Linked DNA regions of Neurospora crassa OR74A. The protein of the gene in region 2 interacts with the protein of the main gene of each other region in a biochemical or structural test. Links are inferred from orthologs where the notes say so. Each region holds a gene or a part of one and is shown on either strand. Other genes may lie near its edges.

Region 1 (8,483 bases), on a different chromosome or scaffold from region 2:
CATCTTCCCCCGGGTGGCTTTTGCACTTTTAGTTTGTAGACCATGCCCATTCACGATCCGTGAAACATTCCATTTCCTATCGTCATCTTCACTTTTTCCATCCCGAGCTTCCATATACCCTTCGCGCTTGTCTGCTAAAAAGACCACGACTTGCACAAGGAACTCACTTCATCATACTTTCAATCCCCACCAATAACGGACAATGAGCTTACCCAAGCCATAGTCCAAATACTTTGGTTCCGCCGCGACAATCCTTTACAATTTTTGTGAGCATCTTGTCCTGGAAAGCAGCTAGCCATGACCAGCTCAGGGCATGGTGTTCCCGCCAGGAACGGTGAACATGGCGTATCCGTCATCTCAGCCTCTTCACACCAACGGATAGTTCACATACCGAACATTCTTCCTCACGAACGAGTGTTTCCCATTCAGATAGGTACTGAGTTGTTCAAGCTGTCCGGCGCCTCACTTTCCTCCGATGGTTGGTCACTTCATCCCTTTCCTACCTAGGTACACTTCATAAATGACTAACACATCCACAGCCCCCTCCTACTTCTCGCAGTACTTCCTCTGCCAACTCAAGCAAGCCTCCGACGCCGGCCAAGACCCCTCCACCGCCATCCGCACCCTCTACATCGACCGCGACCCCGTCACCTTCAAAGACATCTCTCTGCACCTTCAGGGCTACCACGTCCGGCCCCGGGACGCCACTCACCTTGTCCGCCTCTTCGCCGATGCCCAGTTCTACTCCCTTCCCAAGCTCATGTCCCAGCTCTACGAGGAACCCATTCACATCACCATCGGCTCCACACCCTTCCAGATCCCGCGCGAAATCTTCTCCCTTTCTGGACCCGGGAACACGCCCAACTTTTTTACGCTCGGGTTTGCCATGTTTTTCAGCAATCCCGAGGATTTGTTTCCCGGTTTGGACAAGGAGGGACTGATTCGTCCGCCGTCCATCGTCGCGCCTAATGTACCGAATCGCAGTGCCGAGGTCTTTCAGGAACTACTGCATATGCTGAGAGGGTACCCGGTGAAGATCCGGGATGAGAGGCATCGGCAGGAGCTTCTGAAGGACTGCAGGTGGTACAACTTCAAGGGCCTGGAGCAGCGGTTGATCCCGCATGAAAAGGGGTTCAATCAGGTCAGGGGACGGGAAGAGATTGTGCTGGGGTTGAGAGATATTATGAAGAGCGGGATAAGCGTGGCTAATGAGCCGGTGGAGGGAGATCCGTTGGCGGCGTGGGTGAATTATGCCAGGCCGTATGCGGACGACAAAGCAATGGAACTCGTACTTGAAATCGGCGAAGAAGCCACGCAGTTACACATTGGACCGGGGGGGAAGGAAGAAGTCAGAGCGGAGTTCTTCACGGACATCAAGGCGAAAATGGCCAAGTTATTCGAGGTCATCGCTACCAAGCTCAACTTGCCCCCCTTCACTCAGCCCTCGGGGCTATTGATGGCCAAAGGAGGGAGGGGTAGCGAACCGTCCACGTCAAGAGACGCTCTTCTCAGCGAAGATCTCGTCCGCGTCATCCTCGACCCCGAAGCAAGCATAACATTAGACGGCCAACCCTGGACAGCAGACGAGTCCGATCAGACTGCCCATCCATCATTACCCGCAAATGGAACCACAAACAACACCCCCGGCACTACCATTCCATCTGCCTCCTCGTCCTCCGGCGGCCCCTCAACAGCTGAAACCCCCGATTCCATCAACCCCAGCACCAAACCCTCCCCCTTCCAACAATCATCATCACCCGACGAAAACCCCAACCCTCGAAAACGCCGACGCCTAGACTCCAGTCCGCCCTACGGAGTGACCAGCGTTTCGACCTCATCACCACTAGGCGGCGAGCAATGGATCGTCAAAACCGGCCAGTGGCGGCTGCGTATTCAGTCAAGTCCCAACCCCAACCCGGCTAAGGCGTCGGTGGTGGAATGTTGTTTGGTGGCGGTTAAGCTTGATGCGCTGAGCAGCGAGAGGAAGAGGAATGAGAGGAGGGGGTTTTTGGGTGGTTAGGTACCTGACATTGACATGAGGGTGAGGCCCTGGGGGTACTGATGGGATGGAAACGGTTGATGGGGTGAGAGAGAATGGAGGGATGACGTGGAGGAGCAATGGGGAAGAGTTAACTGGATGGGGTTATATCGATCACATCAGATTATGAGCATACCTTATTCTACATTAATACGAGATGGAAAGTTGGAAAGAGGATAGTCAATGCAAGATTCTCGTGGCAGGTGTTGAATGCTCATTTTTCTTTAGGACTGTCATTGTAGTTTCCTACTTGGTAAAGAGCTTCAAGCAATAACTCCCAGATCACCAATTCCAAAGCAGATATCCCAACCCCAACGCCTATATAAGTAATATACACAAGATTCCAAAGCGTTGATAAAGTCCTATCACTTCCATCGCACGTTTCCGATCATGAGACACGTCCATCTAGTGCGCGATTTGAAGCCATCCGAGCACCTATCTAAATCAAGCCCCTGCCTTCGCACTCCGCCCCGCCATTCTTTCGATCTATTTGATATCCCATCCTAGCCAAGAAGCACGCCCAAAATCAACCGCTGCAACGTAGAAAACGCCTGTCCCAATGTTGATTGTGATGCCCAACACCCAACGCCCAAAGCACACGGTCGCAGACAAAAGCCAAGGGCAGCGAAAAGCCAGGCCCACCCATGAAGCATCCCCTTTGTTTTTGAATGCTTTCACCCAGCTGCTGGCAAATCCGACCGACGAATCCTTGGATGTAAACGGCACCAGGGGCCTGGAAGGTCATGGTCGCTCTGCTTGCTTTGTTCCCGGCGGCCGGGCAGCGACGCTGTTATTTTCTGGACGAGGTCGATCTGATCTCGGATCAAATCAAATCGAGTTGGTTCTGGTTATCATTATCGCCGGTTGAGGGTCATTCGCATCGGCGGGGGACAGCAGAGGATCTGTCGACTGGTACATTGGCTCGGTCGGCTTGTTTAACTGGCTGGCTGTGCCAGCGGGGCGTGATCTCGATGCAAACCAGGGCGAGGACGGCTGGTATGAACTGGACTGGGCTCGAGAAAGCAATCGGCTTGCTTCTGCTGTATCATTGTGGCTTTGGTTGCAAGTTGATGTCGGAAAGGCTGGTGTTATCCTAACCTTCAACCTCGGTGTACGGAATCATGAGCGCCTCGTTGCGAGCCACTTCTATATTCCGCGCCTCTTAGATTTTTCATTCGACTTCGTAGTCCCCCATTAAGCGGAAACAGCAATAGACGCCGCGGCATCCGGTGCCTTGGGGAGGTTATCCTGTTTAGGTAATCATCCGTTGGTTAGCAACACTGCTGCATTCCACCCAAAACTCTTCTCGCCTCCATGTCCTGGTCCCTCCCCCCACACACAGAAAATGGCAATACTCACAACTTCAAAAATGACCCTGACCATCAAGCTACAGCTCGGGCAAACGGCAATGTCCTGACCGTCCTGGAGGTCGGCGAGCGCAATCTCGAACTTGTCGCCGCATGGGCAGGGGTACGAATACGTCTGCAGCGCTGGGTCGTAGGTCATGTCTTCGATTTCGACTTCGTCGTAGATGGAGTATTCTTCGTCGGACATTTTGGTTATTTCGATTGAAACTTCGCGGCTTGTGGGATCTGTTCGGGTTGCAAATGTCGCGAGCTGGGCTAGATAGTATCGTTTGGATGGTGGAGCGAAAAAGTTGGGAGTGTTGGTTGGATTGGAGGCTGATGATATGATATGTTGGAAAGTTGAAGGAACGGACAGGGAAAAAAAAAGAGTCAGCGCGGCGAGCGGGACAGTGGAGGGGCAAAATGTCAGATGTGACGGGAACTGCAGTGAACTTTTGGCGCGTGCGGCGCGCGGATGGAAGTGTGGGGGTGGGCAGAGTATCTTACCGTGTAGTACGCCAAGATTGGGCAATGCGTGTAGGTCAAAGCTGTGTAACTTACCAAGACCTCGTATTGCTTCGTCACTACAGCGAATCTTCCTCAATCGCTGTAGTCATGCTACGCAAAAGACATGCCATGAGACCAAGCGCAGAATCCATTTATATAATGGCAAAAGAGAACCAAGCTATCCCCAAGGCTCGAAAAACTTTTCTGAGATTGCATATCACCGAAGAGCATGAAGATGAGCATGTTGTCACTGGCTGCAGGGCTCTCATCTTTTACTTATAAAGCCTAGGTATGAACCTTACTTTCAACAAGGCCCTATGGCGCAACGGTAGCGCGTTCGACTCCAGATCGAAAGGTTATCCGTTCAAATCGGGTTGGGGTCATCCACAATATCTTTTTGGCTTTTTGCTATTCATGCATCTGCGACCAGCAACCATCTCGTGTTTCTTTTTGCGTTTTGCGTGTTGAAGTGGTGGTCAATCTCCTGACATCATTTCCCTTTCTTTTCTTTGGTCGAAAGAAGTAGAGTATTTTTTTCGAACGAGTTGAGACGCTTGGAGGTCATATTCACCGAAAGATTAAGTAGGAAAAGAAACTCATTATCAACTCTTTTCTGTATGTACCAGATACGCCTCCTCATGCTTCTCTGCCTCCTTCTGGCCATCATCACATAACATTCACCTCAAGAACTGCATCTTCAAGAACCTCGCGTCCTTTCGCCCACTCGTACCGCTACCCACACTTCCTCTTTGATTTGTTCTCACGAAACCCCAACTATCTGGACTTCCATCCTCAGATCCACCTCCCAATACTGTTGTTGATGCTGTTGTGCCTCCATTTCTCCTCCTCTCTCACCAGGAACTTATCCCCAATCCCCTAACATCATTACCCTGAATTCAAGCTCTGCCGCACGTCTCCCCTTGTCAAATCATCCCTTCGATCTTAACTCGATGCTTCACTCTTCAGTCTCCGCGAATCTCCTCACCCAAACCTCCCCAAATAACGAAAATGAAACCAGCACCAAAGTCCCTTCGTGTGTGCTCAACAACCAACATTAGCGGACTCAACAACATCATGATTTGGATAACCACTACCACCGAACTATACCATACCGTCCTTCTATTCCCAACTCTTCATCATCAGAAAATAGACACCACGCATTCCACAGCATTACATCCCAGCCAATACCTCGCTCACTCGTTTACTTTCCCATCTCAAACAAACAACCAAACACCCCCAACCATCAACATCGAAACCGAAACCCAGACAACTCAACCCAGCCCCGAGACATCACAAACATTTTAACCCAAAAGACTAGGAAACCTCTTCTCACAACAAAACCATCCCCACCGCCGCAAAAACACCCAACCCCACCGCCGGTCCCTGCAACGGCACCTTCCCAGCCGCAGCACTAGGCACCGAAGACGGGGACGCAGTAGAAGTCGAGGTGGAAGTGGACGTGGTGACGCCCGAAGAAGTGTAGCTGCTGGTGGTGCTAGAGGAGTAGACGGTGGTGGTTGTGGAGGAGGTGGAGGTGGAAGTGGTGGAAGAGGAGGGTGTGACTGTTGTGGTGGCTTGTTTTGTATTGATGTTAGTAGGATGAAAAAGAGAGAGAGTGGTAGATGAAAGGCAGAAAGAGAGTGGTTCAAAAGAGGAAAAAAAAGGAGAAAAGGGGAGAGAAGGGGTGGTTAGGTAGGGATAACTAAAATCCCAGAGGGGGAAGCGACGCAACAGGAGGGTCGTCAGGAAGAGGAGGGGGATCCTCGTAGGTCTGCTCGTTCTCATCCTCATTCCCAGGCACAAACCCCGCAGAATCAGGATCAGGAGACAGCGAGTTAACAGGAACAGGACGAGGAGTCTGAATGGGAATAGGCGCTTTCGGGGGAGGAAACGGAGGAAAAGTGACCGGGAGAAGAGGAGAAGGAGGTTGATGGGGATGACACGGTCCGACATCACGCGCAACCCGATCCAGCCTGTCCGTCCGACCCCGACACCCCTTGGCAGCAGGCGCAGGTGGAATAACACCACCACCACCTGTAACACGAGGGAGAGCCGGGAATTGGATCATGCAAGCGGCTAGACAAGACTGGAGGCGCTCGTTTTGACGAGGAGGTGCTGTGACAAAAACACCAAACAGTTGGAAAAGGCAGTGAGAACGGACGGACGGGACACCCAAGAAGAAAGACTTACTCAAAGAAGTTGAGGTCGGCGTGCTCACGTAAATACTGGTAATGGTGGTTTGAGCAGCAGCGAGGCTGGCAGTGCCGAGGACAGCGAGGAGAGTGGAGGAACGCATCTTGCTTAGATGACTTGAGGACCGGTCGGTGGCTGGCTTGTTTTGGCTTTGGTAGAGTTCGTTCTTTTGATAGCGAATGAGTTGATCCTCTCTTCGTTCGAATTTTGTCTTGCTTTAGCTTTGAGGGAAAACGAGAGCAGAAAAGGATGATGAGGCGTTGAGAGGTAGGCAAGATGACGGAGGAAACGAGGGGAAGGAGACGGCTATTAAAGGTTAGGTGAGGGGAGGCTGGAGATGAGGTGATCAGATACCAAGACGCGGAAGATGTCTGGATGATGAAAGAGGAAGCTTGCACTGCCTACCAGGGACGATTACAAGAGAGCTGAGTCCAAGTTCCAGGAAGGCTGTGGGCAAGTCCAACGCCGGATGAACACTCGGCTTCACTTCAGGAGTGAGGTCATCATGGCTGACATTGGAGCTTCGTATCCCCTTCAAGGAGTCGAGTACACCATGATGCTGACACAACTACGCAATCAACAGGGATGACCTGTTCCTCCGAGCCTGGACTCCTCAACTCATTCTGCCTTCGGAGCGGGGAGATGGTTTCCGAAGTATGCTGATGTTCTCGTAACTGGCAAGCCTCGCAATAGCGCCAACCTCTTCACGTGCTCCCCGAAGCTGATTACTTGGATGGCTGCTGAGTACTATAGTTACGAGCAGCCGAACATCCTGTGTGCAAGGGCAGTGAGGTCCGACCGCCGGTGCTCGAGCCTCCGGGCCAACTCTCCGGAACTCAAGCAGGCGAGCGAGTTCCAAGCCAGGCAGAACAACGAGCTCCGAACTAACATACCTGGGCTCGCCAGGGAAAGAAATGTGCTTGGTTGTCCATGAAGCGGCTCTGGCTCTTCCTTGCCCACGGGGTCAAGACGATACAGTCGATGCTTTGAGGCCTCCAAGTGTAAGTAATGCAACCAGCTCAACACCAGGCCAACCATCGCCACATAGCCGTGTCCTTTGAACATGAGAGCTTTGACACAAACATCCGTCACCTAGATGAACACAAATCTATTCATCGCTAAAACTTTTAGCCATCCATGATATCAAACCCAAACAAATGACATTCATCAGAAAACCATCACTGCCCACCACATAGATTTCCCATCTTACCACGCATCACACCTTTAAACATTGGTAAAGAAAAAGCTGGGCTGACCAGGAAGAGCAGCCTCAGCCATTGGCGCCGTGACCTCGATCTCAGCACCACCATTCGTCAAGTCCTTGCCCGTCTTGCTGCCCTCCTCAACAAGGACAACCTGCACGCTCTCCAAGCCAGCAGTCCTCTTCAGACCGGGGATCATGGCCAACAGCGTCGCCTTCTCATCGAAGGACAGCTTGCGGCTAAGAATCTGCTCAGCGGGCTCGCCATCCTTCAACCTCTTCTTGAGCGCCTGAACGAAGGGCATGGCCTTCTTCATCTCTCCCATCTTGGCGATGCGGCCGTTCAGCTCCTTATCGTCGATCTTCTGAGTGCCGGTAGCAGCGTCCCAGACCTCAGAGAGCAGGTCGATGTACTTGGCCTGCCAGGTAGGGAAGTTCTCGGTGGCGAAGATGGTAAGCTTCTTGGGCTTTTTGGGGTCGAAGTCGGACTGGCGACCCTTGGCCATCTTCTTAAGCTGGGCGGCCTCGGCGGAGTTGATGGCGGAGGAGGTGGTGCGGACGTAGTCGCGAGCGGCAGTGAGGGCGGGGTTGGCGGCGGGGACCTCGGGCCAGCGGGCGAACTGGATGGACTTGGGCTCGCCAAGGCATTCTTGCCAGACGTAGTCGGCCCAGTGAGGGGCAATGGGGGTGATGACGAGGGCCTGGAAGACGAGTTAGTACCGAAGGCGAAAATGTTGACGAGGCAAGGAAAGAAAAAGCGTACCTGAAGACGGATGTACTTGGTGACCAAGTCCTTGTGCAGAGGAATGCCGGCAGCAGCGCAAGCCTCACGGTACATATCACGAGCGTTCAAGAAGTCGTAGTGAGCAGCCTTGAGAGCAAGCTTGTACGAGGTCTCCTCGTAGTGCTTGCGGGCCTCGTTGACAAGGGCGTTCATCTCGTTGTCGAACAGGGCATCCTGGAAGCTGTTGAGCTCGCCAGTGCGGAGAGACTCGTCCTTGAGAGTCTCCTCGATCCACTCCTTGTTGGTGTAGAAGCGGAGAATGGTGTTGTCGGCAACATCTTCGACAAAGTTGGAGTCGGAGATACCATCACCGGCATCGGCAAGAGCAACACGGGCGGCGTCGGCACCGTACTTCTTGACGACATCGTCGAGGGTCATGAAGTTGCCAGTAGACTTGGACATCTTCTCGCCGTT
Region 2 (8,634 bases):
TAGCCAGAGTCACCTGTTCGTTCAGTAAAGATATGTCATGGATATGAAGCGTTGTCAATCCAGTGAGCCTTGAAATCCACACAGGAAAATATAATATACAGGGCAGATATTCTAGGTTCGGAAACCGAACTTTAGTTAAATGGGAAGTGACGTGCCCCTGGTCGGCGGTAGCCCTGATACCTTCTGTGATCTTGTTGACGACTTCACAGAATAGCACATGTGGACCTACGTTGCCATCGAAATTGTCTTGGTCGAATGGATGGTCTGGGTTGGATATATTAATTTGGAGTAGTTGTAGGTAGCGAAGTGGCGGGCTGTAAAATTTGTAACGCAGTTGGGCATCCTCTGATTTATCGAAATTTTGGAGGAAGTTGAGGAGATCGGAGAAGTCAAGTGTCTTAACCCAACAGCAGTACGGATATAAGGTCTTCCCCAGGCTGGACACAATGATAGATCTCCAGAAGCAGACCGACTGCCTGTCCGCGTCGTCATACATTAACCCTTTGACGATGCCGTACATTAGCGGCAAGGCAAAGCATGCCATGGTACGATTGAGACGAGCAATGAGAAACATTGTTGATAGGTCTTTTATACTGGCAGCCTGGTCAACAATAAGCCACCAAATTTCTGTGGGAAAGCCCGGGAAGGTCATGGCAACTGTTGAGGCCAGGACGAAACAACCAATAAAGTGGACGTGGGAATGCGAAATGCGGTATAGCTGCCCACGGCACGGCGGAAGTGAACGGTTCTGTTTAACTTTGTCTGGGCAAAAGTCAGAAAACATTGTACGTTTGAAGGGGGCTGAAGGAGCAGTTAAGGGAATAGGTACAGGTACTGTGATGGAAGGGAGGGGCGAGAAAGCACCACGAACCTTAGCGTGCAACTCAAAAGAACCGTGGAAGTATGGGTTCCTCTCGACAAGCAAAAGGAATCTACCAGCGTGCCTGGCTAAAGTCTTGAAAAGTCTCGACGGCCTATGCTGGTTGTGGAGGAGCGGCTGCGAAGCGGAAATCCAAGAATATTCCGTGACAATGCCCGCGTCAATGGTGATGCTTATGGACAAGTTGGTTGCTGGGTGTGCAGTGATTCTCCTGGCAAATGGGTTGCTGTGATGCACTTGTGTGGACGGAACTTCAGTTGCCACAACGGACAGTTTCTGCCGAGCCTCACTGTGAAATTCAGTAAAGGGTCTACACTAAGCAGTAGATTATTGTTTGGGAGGGAAAAGCAGAAGATGAAACAGTCGTTTGCGAATTGTCAGAGCGATCTGGGCTGTTTGGACAGAGAGAGGACTGGAGATAAATTCCGAAAACCACAGAAGGGCGATTTCTTGTACTCGTAAATCAATACCTACCTCTAGGGTACACGAGCCCCCTTGTCACATGTGCGTGCATACTCAAGGCATCAGAGCGCGCTCACTGGTGGAATTCATAAATGCAGTGTGATTTGCTTCACGACTTCTTATAAACAGGGTGTTTTCGGAATTGCGTTTGTTGTCGTGTGTCAGTTGAGGACTCGGATATCCAACAGCCTCCACATTGACTACGATAGGTAGCCGAGCCAATGAGGTTGAGCTAGAGGTACCTATTGCTGCTTCCACAGTATCAAATCACTTGTCCCATACCAAACGGGAATTCAACAGAAGAAAAGGTGTACACTTGAATATTACTGAGGAACTCCCGCACGTACCAACAATAGTCCGGGCATGGGAGCTTTTTCCTTTTTGTGAGCTCGACGGGACCTAGTTCATGCCGCAACTAGGCGCAAGTGGGGGGGGAAATTGACCTGAAAGACCGGGCTACTGGTACCTAGTAGAGGTACCTCGACCTAGGTACCTACAGGTAGGTATGTCGCTCATGAACGACGGAAGTCCGGCAAGGTGACGGGAGCGTCGATCGGTCCCTGTGTGTACCTATTTTAGAGGGCCCTAGAGCTAGGCTAGGGTGCTAGGCACTGAAATTTACCGCCCCAAATGCTGTGCTTCGACGCGGTCTCTTGCGAGTGGGAGCAGCCGCGCAACCATCACAGTTGCACCTTCCATCCATTGTTCACTTGCTCTTGATAGGTACAGCGTTTTGTGTCACGCAAGAGCACTCCAAGGCAACTGCACTCGGCCTCGATTTATTTTCCATCATACTCCAGGCCACTGCAGGGGGCCATCACAACAGAAATCGCTGACTGGATGCGAGAAACTGAGTGGCCAGACTTAGACCCGAGAAAGCTCTTCCTGACCAAAAGAATATAAGTCGATCGACTAATTGCGACGACGGCCACAAAATGGTAATCTTGAACTTCACGCTCAGCGAGGAGGGCGTGTCTGTTTTCCACGACGCCCTCGCCTGCATGTACAAGTTCAGTGATGATGTTTGCTTGGAAGCAAGAAGGGACAAGGTACGTACATATAGGGCTCACCAACAAATCTTCCCTTCTTGAGATTGTGATACAGGTGCTAATTTATCTGTCTCTTAGCTTACCTTGACTACTCTCAACATCTCAAAGTCAGCATACGTTTGCTTCACTTTTGCCGCTAACAGGTTCTTCTCCCGTTACCATTTCGAGGGGAATGCCCAGTATCGAGATAGATTCTTCTGCCAACTCTATATCCGGGTGAGTGGTCGCTCCTAGACCTATGTCCCCTGGGTATTTACCAACAATTTCTCTCAGTCCCTCTTGTCCATCTTTCGGTCTCGCCAAGGTGGTGATTCTGCACGGGATAAAGATGCTTCCATCGAGCGCTGTGATGTTGCCATTGACGATGGCCCTGGCAAGAAGAGCCGGTTGATTGCCAGAATCTCTTGCAGGAACGGTACATAACGCTCCGATCATAGTCATGATACCTACAAAGCTCACAACGTTACAGGAATCACCGCGTCTCATTCTCTACCGTTCGAATCAAAGCCACCAACTCATGCCAAGTTTGAGAAGGACGAGGCTGGGAATCGTTGGTCGATCTCATCTAGCACACTGCGACAACTCATGGATCATTTCGGTCCGGGTATTGAATTGCTTGATATCAACACGGATGACGATGATCATGTTGTGAACTTTACCTGCTTCACGGACAAGGTGCAGAAACGCGGCCCTCATGGCAATGAAGGTTCGTAAGACCTCCCTTCAAGCCAAGTTGGAGGATGATGCTGACAATGGCGTGAAAAGCTGTCCTCAAGAAGCCGCTTCACACCAACATTTCTGTAGAAATGGCCGAGTTTAATGAGGTTGAAGTCCAAGACAAACTTCACATCATCATTAGTGTCAAGGATTTCCGAGCCATTCTGCAACACGCTCAAATAATCAGCGGAGAGCTCGCAACCTACTACTCGGAGCCCGGACGCCCGATGAAGTTATCTTATAGTGCGGACGGTATCCTGTGCGAGTTCATCCTCATGACGGTTGGAGAACAGGATGCCATCACTCAGAAGCACAAAAATACCAGGGCGAGGGCTTCAAAGACCCCAAAACCGGGTTCGGGTCCGGGACCGGGTCCTGCGTCTAAGCCCGACGGCTCTGTTGCAAACAATGAGGCCAAAGACGTTCCAAAACCAGCGCAGAAGCCTCCTCAACAAAAGACACCTCCACAACCACGACAGACACAATTTGAAATTCGACCACCACCCATACCGCCTCGAAGCCCGGTGGCCGCCAGGACTGATCGATCTGATTCGCCGTTATTCGTTGAGCAAGGCGACGAGGACCGGCAATGGGATCCCGTGGATCGTGAGGATGAAGAGGAGATGGACAACGCTAGAGTCGAGTGGAATGCAACGGGCGAGCCGGTACTTCTACGTCATTTCCCTCTAGTCGCCAGAAAAAAGATGGCTAACATCCACTCCAGAACCCGCCGTCCTTGCGAATTAGCAGTTTACTGGCAAGACCGGCTGTGCCCGGTAATGAGCCAGACAGACTTGCTGGGGGACTCGAGCCAACCCAGCAGCTTTCTGAGGCATGTATCTTGTTGTCTCCTATGTCTATTCTTTTGCTAACTGGCAATCAGGTTCGGCGCTTTGGTTTATTTTCCTCTTGACCAAGTAAACCGAGCAGTGCTTAAAGGGGTGGTTTAGTTCATGTACTGTAACATACGACTTAGCAGTCATCCTCGGCATATCTTTGACTGTTCCCAAGGCTCTAAGTTGACGGCATCTGTATTGCCACCCAACTGGTGGCACAGCCGGCCCCGATGGTGGTTATTTTAGCGCCCGAAGGAATGAACTTCGACGACGCAATAACGTTCTGCTGACCCTTTGTGACATCCGAACTACTGAGCGGTCCGCAGTTGCCGTGTTCACCCCAGCCCCAGGCTGTAACGTCGCCCTCCTCGCTCAAGGCCAGTGCATGTTCGCTCCCCACCGCAATATGTTTGGTTTGGGGTAGGTTCGCGGGAGCGAGTTGACCATGGTCATTACGGCCCCAGCTCAATAAGCTTCCATCTCCCTTCAAGATGAACAGGTTGCCCCAACTAGCACCGACCTCTCGCCATCCGACAACCTGGTCCGGAACTTCACCCCTGATCCCCCATTTGTCTGAACCAAGGACCATGATGTTACCGCTTTCAGGGCTTCCCAGAAAGCATGTGAATTCCTTTCCACAGACCGCTTTCACAACCTTGAAGCCCAAACCCTCGATTTTGCGGGGTGAGTGAACAATATCCTCCGGCGCTCCGATCTGACCCTTCCGGCCATTACCCCAACCCCAAACGTCACCATTGCTTAAAACTGCAACGACATGGCCCATACAAGCGGCGAGATCGACAACTTCCGTGTCCGGGGGAGGAAAATCTGGAATCAGAGACGGAGTCGCCGTACGGAAGATGAACGTGCCCAAGCCCAACTCGCCTTTCAGGCCGGTGCCGCAAGAGTAGACTCTGGTGTTGCGACCTTGGGCATCCAGGCGGGTAAAGATGCTTGCTTCCCAGGCAGCTGCAACCATACCTACCCTGAATGGGTCTTGGGGTGTTGATACAGATGAAATGTCGACCGGGTGAAATCGAGGAGGCTGCGAAATTTGTGTTTGAGTGAACTTGCCACAGGCACCGGTATTCGGGTCTCCGCTCCAGTAGATGTCGCCGGTCGTAGTCAAAATAATTGTGTGGTTACCTCCAGCAACAATCTTGGTGATGGAGGCGGTAGCCGGAAGGTCTGCATCAAAATGGGCATCCTTTGGAACGGAAACGTCTTCTTTGTGGCCGATGCCTAGCTGGCCGGAGCCATTAGATCCAAGAGCGAAGAGTAGCAGCATTCTGATGCAACTTCTCGATTAATGGACTGAGCGAGGCGGAATGATGATAAGTCGATGTTTTCCCGGAAATGTCCCGTCTTTTAATCGTGGCAACTAAGGATGACGACGGCATTCATTGCAGCCTCCGCGCACAGCCGGTGCCGGGCCGGGACATTGGTGGAGTTTTGGTTCGGAGGCTGTAAGTTCGGAGGCATGGCTCCATTTGCGGTGTCGGGAAGATGGTCCGAGCTTTCCAGTGCAAATCAAAGTGGGGCGAAGCACACTGACGGGATTTTCCAGTCGTTTTTAAAATCCCACCTTGCGGCCTCCCGAATTGAAAATTTCTTCCTTTCCGTACCACAAAGCCAGCAACAGCAACGCAGCCTCACCCATTGCTTCTCGCGCGATCATCGAGCGAGTGCTTCTTTGGTGCCGAGGGTCTTGTGTGACGATGTGATAGTTGCCGCAATCGACCGGTCCTGCTGGAAAGAAACAATACACGCGTCAATATGGCTTCGACATCGGAATCCCCCAATATGACCGGCTTCACTGTCGGTCTGATTGGGATGGGCGATATGGGCAAGATGTATGCCCGGAGACTTAGCAGCGCAGGTTGGAGGTAATAATTCTTCCTCGCTCGTCTCATCGTCGTCAATCACGCCCAGGCTCTTCGCGGAGCCTGCCACCGCGACTAACCTTCAACAAACATTTCGCAGTTGTTCAAATGGTACGTTGCAACAGTTCTTCTCATTCCCCATTACCCCCTAATATGATGACTTGAGTGCATTTGGCTAGAGTATCGCGCCTGTCACGGCTGGTCAACCGTTCCGGTCCCAGTTTGTGTAGGGAGCTTTCCATGATGAAAAATCTCAGCTACCTTACAATTTTCGTCTGAAACAAACACATCTTCACACATCTTTATATCTTGCAGCATTTGTAAGGGACTTTCGCTGACCAGATATCAACAGGTTCTTAGTGTTACAGCATGATCAGGAATCGGTTGGCTAACGATCCCTTTCAGGATCATGGCCTGCGATAGAGAAGAGAAATATGATGAGCTGGTACAAGAGTTCGAGGGGAATGTACGGTCGCACACATTTAGCCCGATCTCTCTACAGCAGAATCAGTGCTGAGTCTTCATATTTTGCTTTCTAGAACAATATACAAATTCTCCGTAACGGTCATTTCGTGTCTCGCGCCAGCGATTATATCATCTACAGTGTTGAGGCGGCGGTCATCGATCGTGTCGTCGCCCAGTACGGTCCATGTGTGTTGCCATGACCTCTCTCCCCGTCACGTAGACTTGACCTTAACCGCGTACCTCGTTTTTAGCGACCAAGCTCGGCGCTATTGTTGGTGGCCAAACGTCCTGTAAAGATCCTGAGATCAAGGCTTTCGAAAAGTACCTGCCCGCCGACGTTGACATCGTATCCTGCCACTCCCTTCACGGCCCCAATGTCGATCCCAAGGGCCAGCCGCTGGTGCTCATCAAGCATCGCGCCTCCGACGAATCTTTCTCCAAGGTTGAGCACGTACTCTCCTGCCTTAACTCCAAGGTTGTCTACCTGAGTGCCGATGAACATGACCGCATCACGGCCGATACCCAAGCCGTCACCCACGCCGCTTTCCTCAGCATGGGCAAGGCCTGGCATGCAACCAAGCAATTCCCCTGGGAGGGAACCCGTTATGTCGGCGGCATCGAAAACGTCAAGATCAACCTCATGCTCCGCATCTATGCCCAAAAGTGGCACGTCTACGCCGGCCTCGCCATCCTCAACCCCGAAGCACACAAGCAGATTGCCCAGTTCGCCAAGTCCACCACCGAGCTGTTCCAACTTATGCTGGAGGGTCATAGCGACGAGCTTCGCGCCCGCGTGTACGCCGCCAAGGAAAAAGTCTTCGGTGCCGAAGGAAGCCCCAAGTGGGCGAGCAAACCTCTCCTCCGTGACGATGTGCTCGACCAGTTCAGCCTCCGCCAGCCGGAAAATGGCGGCCCTTCGGCTCCCTCCTTGCCCAACAACCACCTCTCGCTGCTTGCCATGGTCGACTGCTGGAGCGCTCTGGGAATCGTGCCGTACGACCACATGATCTGCTCGACTCCCCTGTTCCGACTCTGGCTGGGCGTCACCGAGCACTTGTTCAGGACCCCAGGCTTGCTGGATGAGTGCCTGAAGGTCGGCATCGAGGATCGGACTTTCAGAAGGGATGACTTGCAGTTCACCATTGCGGCGGCGGGCTGGGCCGAGTGTGTGGGTCTGAGGCAATTCGAGACGTGGAGGGAGCGGTTTGCGGTTACCCAGGCTTTCTTCGAGCCGAGGTTCAAGGGAGCGGTGGAGGTAGGTAATGCGATGATCAAGGCAGTCCTGGCAAGCGATGAGAAGGACTAAAGGTATGTACGGAACGGAGACTGGATTGGAATGCACATGGAGAAGGTTGAATGCGCGAAGGGCTGTGGAACGGTATCAGGGGGGAAAAAACGGGCATCTTGATGGACGAGATATATCTGTGGGTATAACACGGCTACCTGGCGTAGGCTTCCCAGCAACGACCGTGATATTGATAATTGAAAAACGGACATCTGGATTTTGGAAAATTCGTCTCGGTTGGTTCTTTGATGATGTACGATTGTGAGATTTGCTGTAATGCTGTATGAGGCATGGCGAGAGATGATGCTGTCCTGGCTGCAACACTACTGGTACCTACCTGGTACAGAGTCCTATTTTCGTATCTTCTTCCTATGGTCAGCCCTCCAGCTACCGTCCTCAGGTCATGTCACTCACAAGGCCCTTCCTCCGCTGGTGCATCTTCATGATGAAGTTTGGCACACCGAGTCAGGAGATGACATTGCCCGGCAGGGCTTCGATGTCGAGAGCTCCACGGCCTACGAAGTGCTTTTTGTTGTTTTGTTTATAGATAGGTAGGTAGATGCCTGCACAGTACCTAAGGTAGAACCTTGATGGCTGATTGCCGCGGCGCCAGAAGCTTATCAGCTTCACTTAACCCCCGCATCGCAGGCTGGACCCCCTCCATGAATTGACCCACATGAGGCCGTATGCCACTGCGGCCTGCCGCAATCAAGCTTTCGCCTCAGCGTACTTGCAGCTTGCTTAGTTGGACTGTTTCGTTGCCTGTTGCACACAACATCACCAGCGCGACGGACACTGCTACTTTCCTTCTATATTGTATGATACAGTTATCCGATCCTCTCATAACATCTATCACGGCCAATTTTCAAAAAAGAATCACGAAATTGCACCCGAAATTTCGCGTATACCCCAAGCTACCCTACAATAGCTCGGCGAGAGCAACCGTTTGACCACGATGGGTAAGTTTTCTGTGGGCGCAAAGCGATGAACGTTTGTGTGCCTCTACCTAGCTTCCCACGGCAGCTAACCTCTGATCCCCATTATAGAGCTGCCACCG

What was found.
Region 1: the proteins of NCU00469 (region 2) and NCU09465 are reported together in a solved structure, tested with the Saccharomyces cerevisiae proteins (2 studies listed by BioGRID, with this or other methods). The link is inferred for Neurospora crassa OR74A from reciprocal best matches to the Saccharomyces cerevisiae genes ATS1 and KTI11.

What each region holds. Positions count from the first base shown.
Region 1 is NC_026502.1:4,364,731-4,373,213, reverse strand, and holds NCU09465 (diphthamide biosynthesis protein 3), read right to left. Parts: upstream 3,769-8,483; 5' UTR 3,593-3,768; coding exon 3,398-3,592; intron 3,287-3,397; coding exon 3,233-3,286; 3' UTR 2,239-3,232; downstream 1-2,238. Other genes in the region: NCU09466 (hypothetical protein), read left to right, coding at 298-478, 540-2,020; NCU09464 (hypothetical protein), read right to left, coding at 5,594-6,006, 6,082-6,187; leu-6 (leucyl-tRNA synthetase), read right to left, coding at 7,309-7,986, 8,049-8,483. UniProt on the Saccharomyces cerevisiae protein: Required for the first step of diphthamide biosynthesis, a post-translational modification of histidine which occurs in elongation factor 2.
Region 2 is NC_026503.1:3,965,893-3,974,526, reverse strand, and holds NCU00469 (alpha-tubulin suppressor protein Aats1), read right to left. Parts: upstream 5,400-8,634; 5' UTR 5,233-5,399; coding exon 4,123-5,232; 3' UTR 4,022-4,122; coding exon of another isoform or gene 3,992-4,021; 3' UTR 3,981-3,991; downstream 1-3,980. Other genes in the region: NCU00471 (hypothetical protein), read right to left, coding at 1-652; NCU00470 (DNA repair protein Rad9), read left to right, coding at 2,278-2,391, 2,470-2,607, 2,665-2,806, 2,861-3,097, 3,157-3,980; NCU00468 (prephenate dehydrogenase), read left to right, coding at 5,721-5,830, 6,233-6,293, 6,367-6,478, 6,544-7,598; CSN-5, read left to right, coding at 8,533-8,536, 8,624-8,634.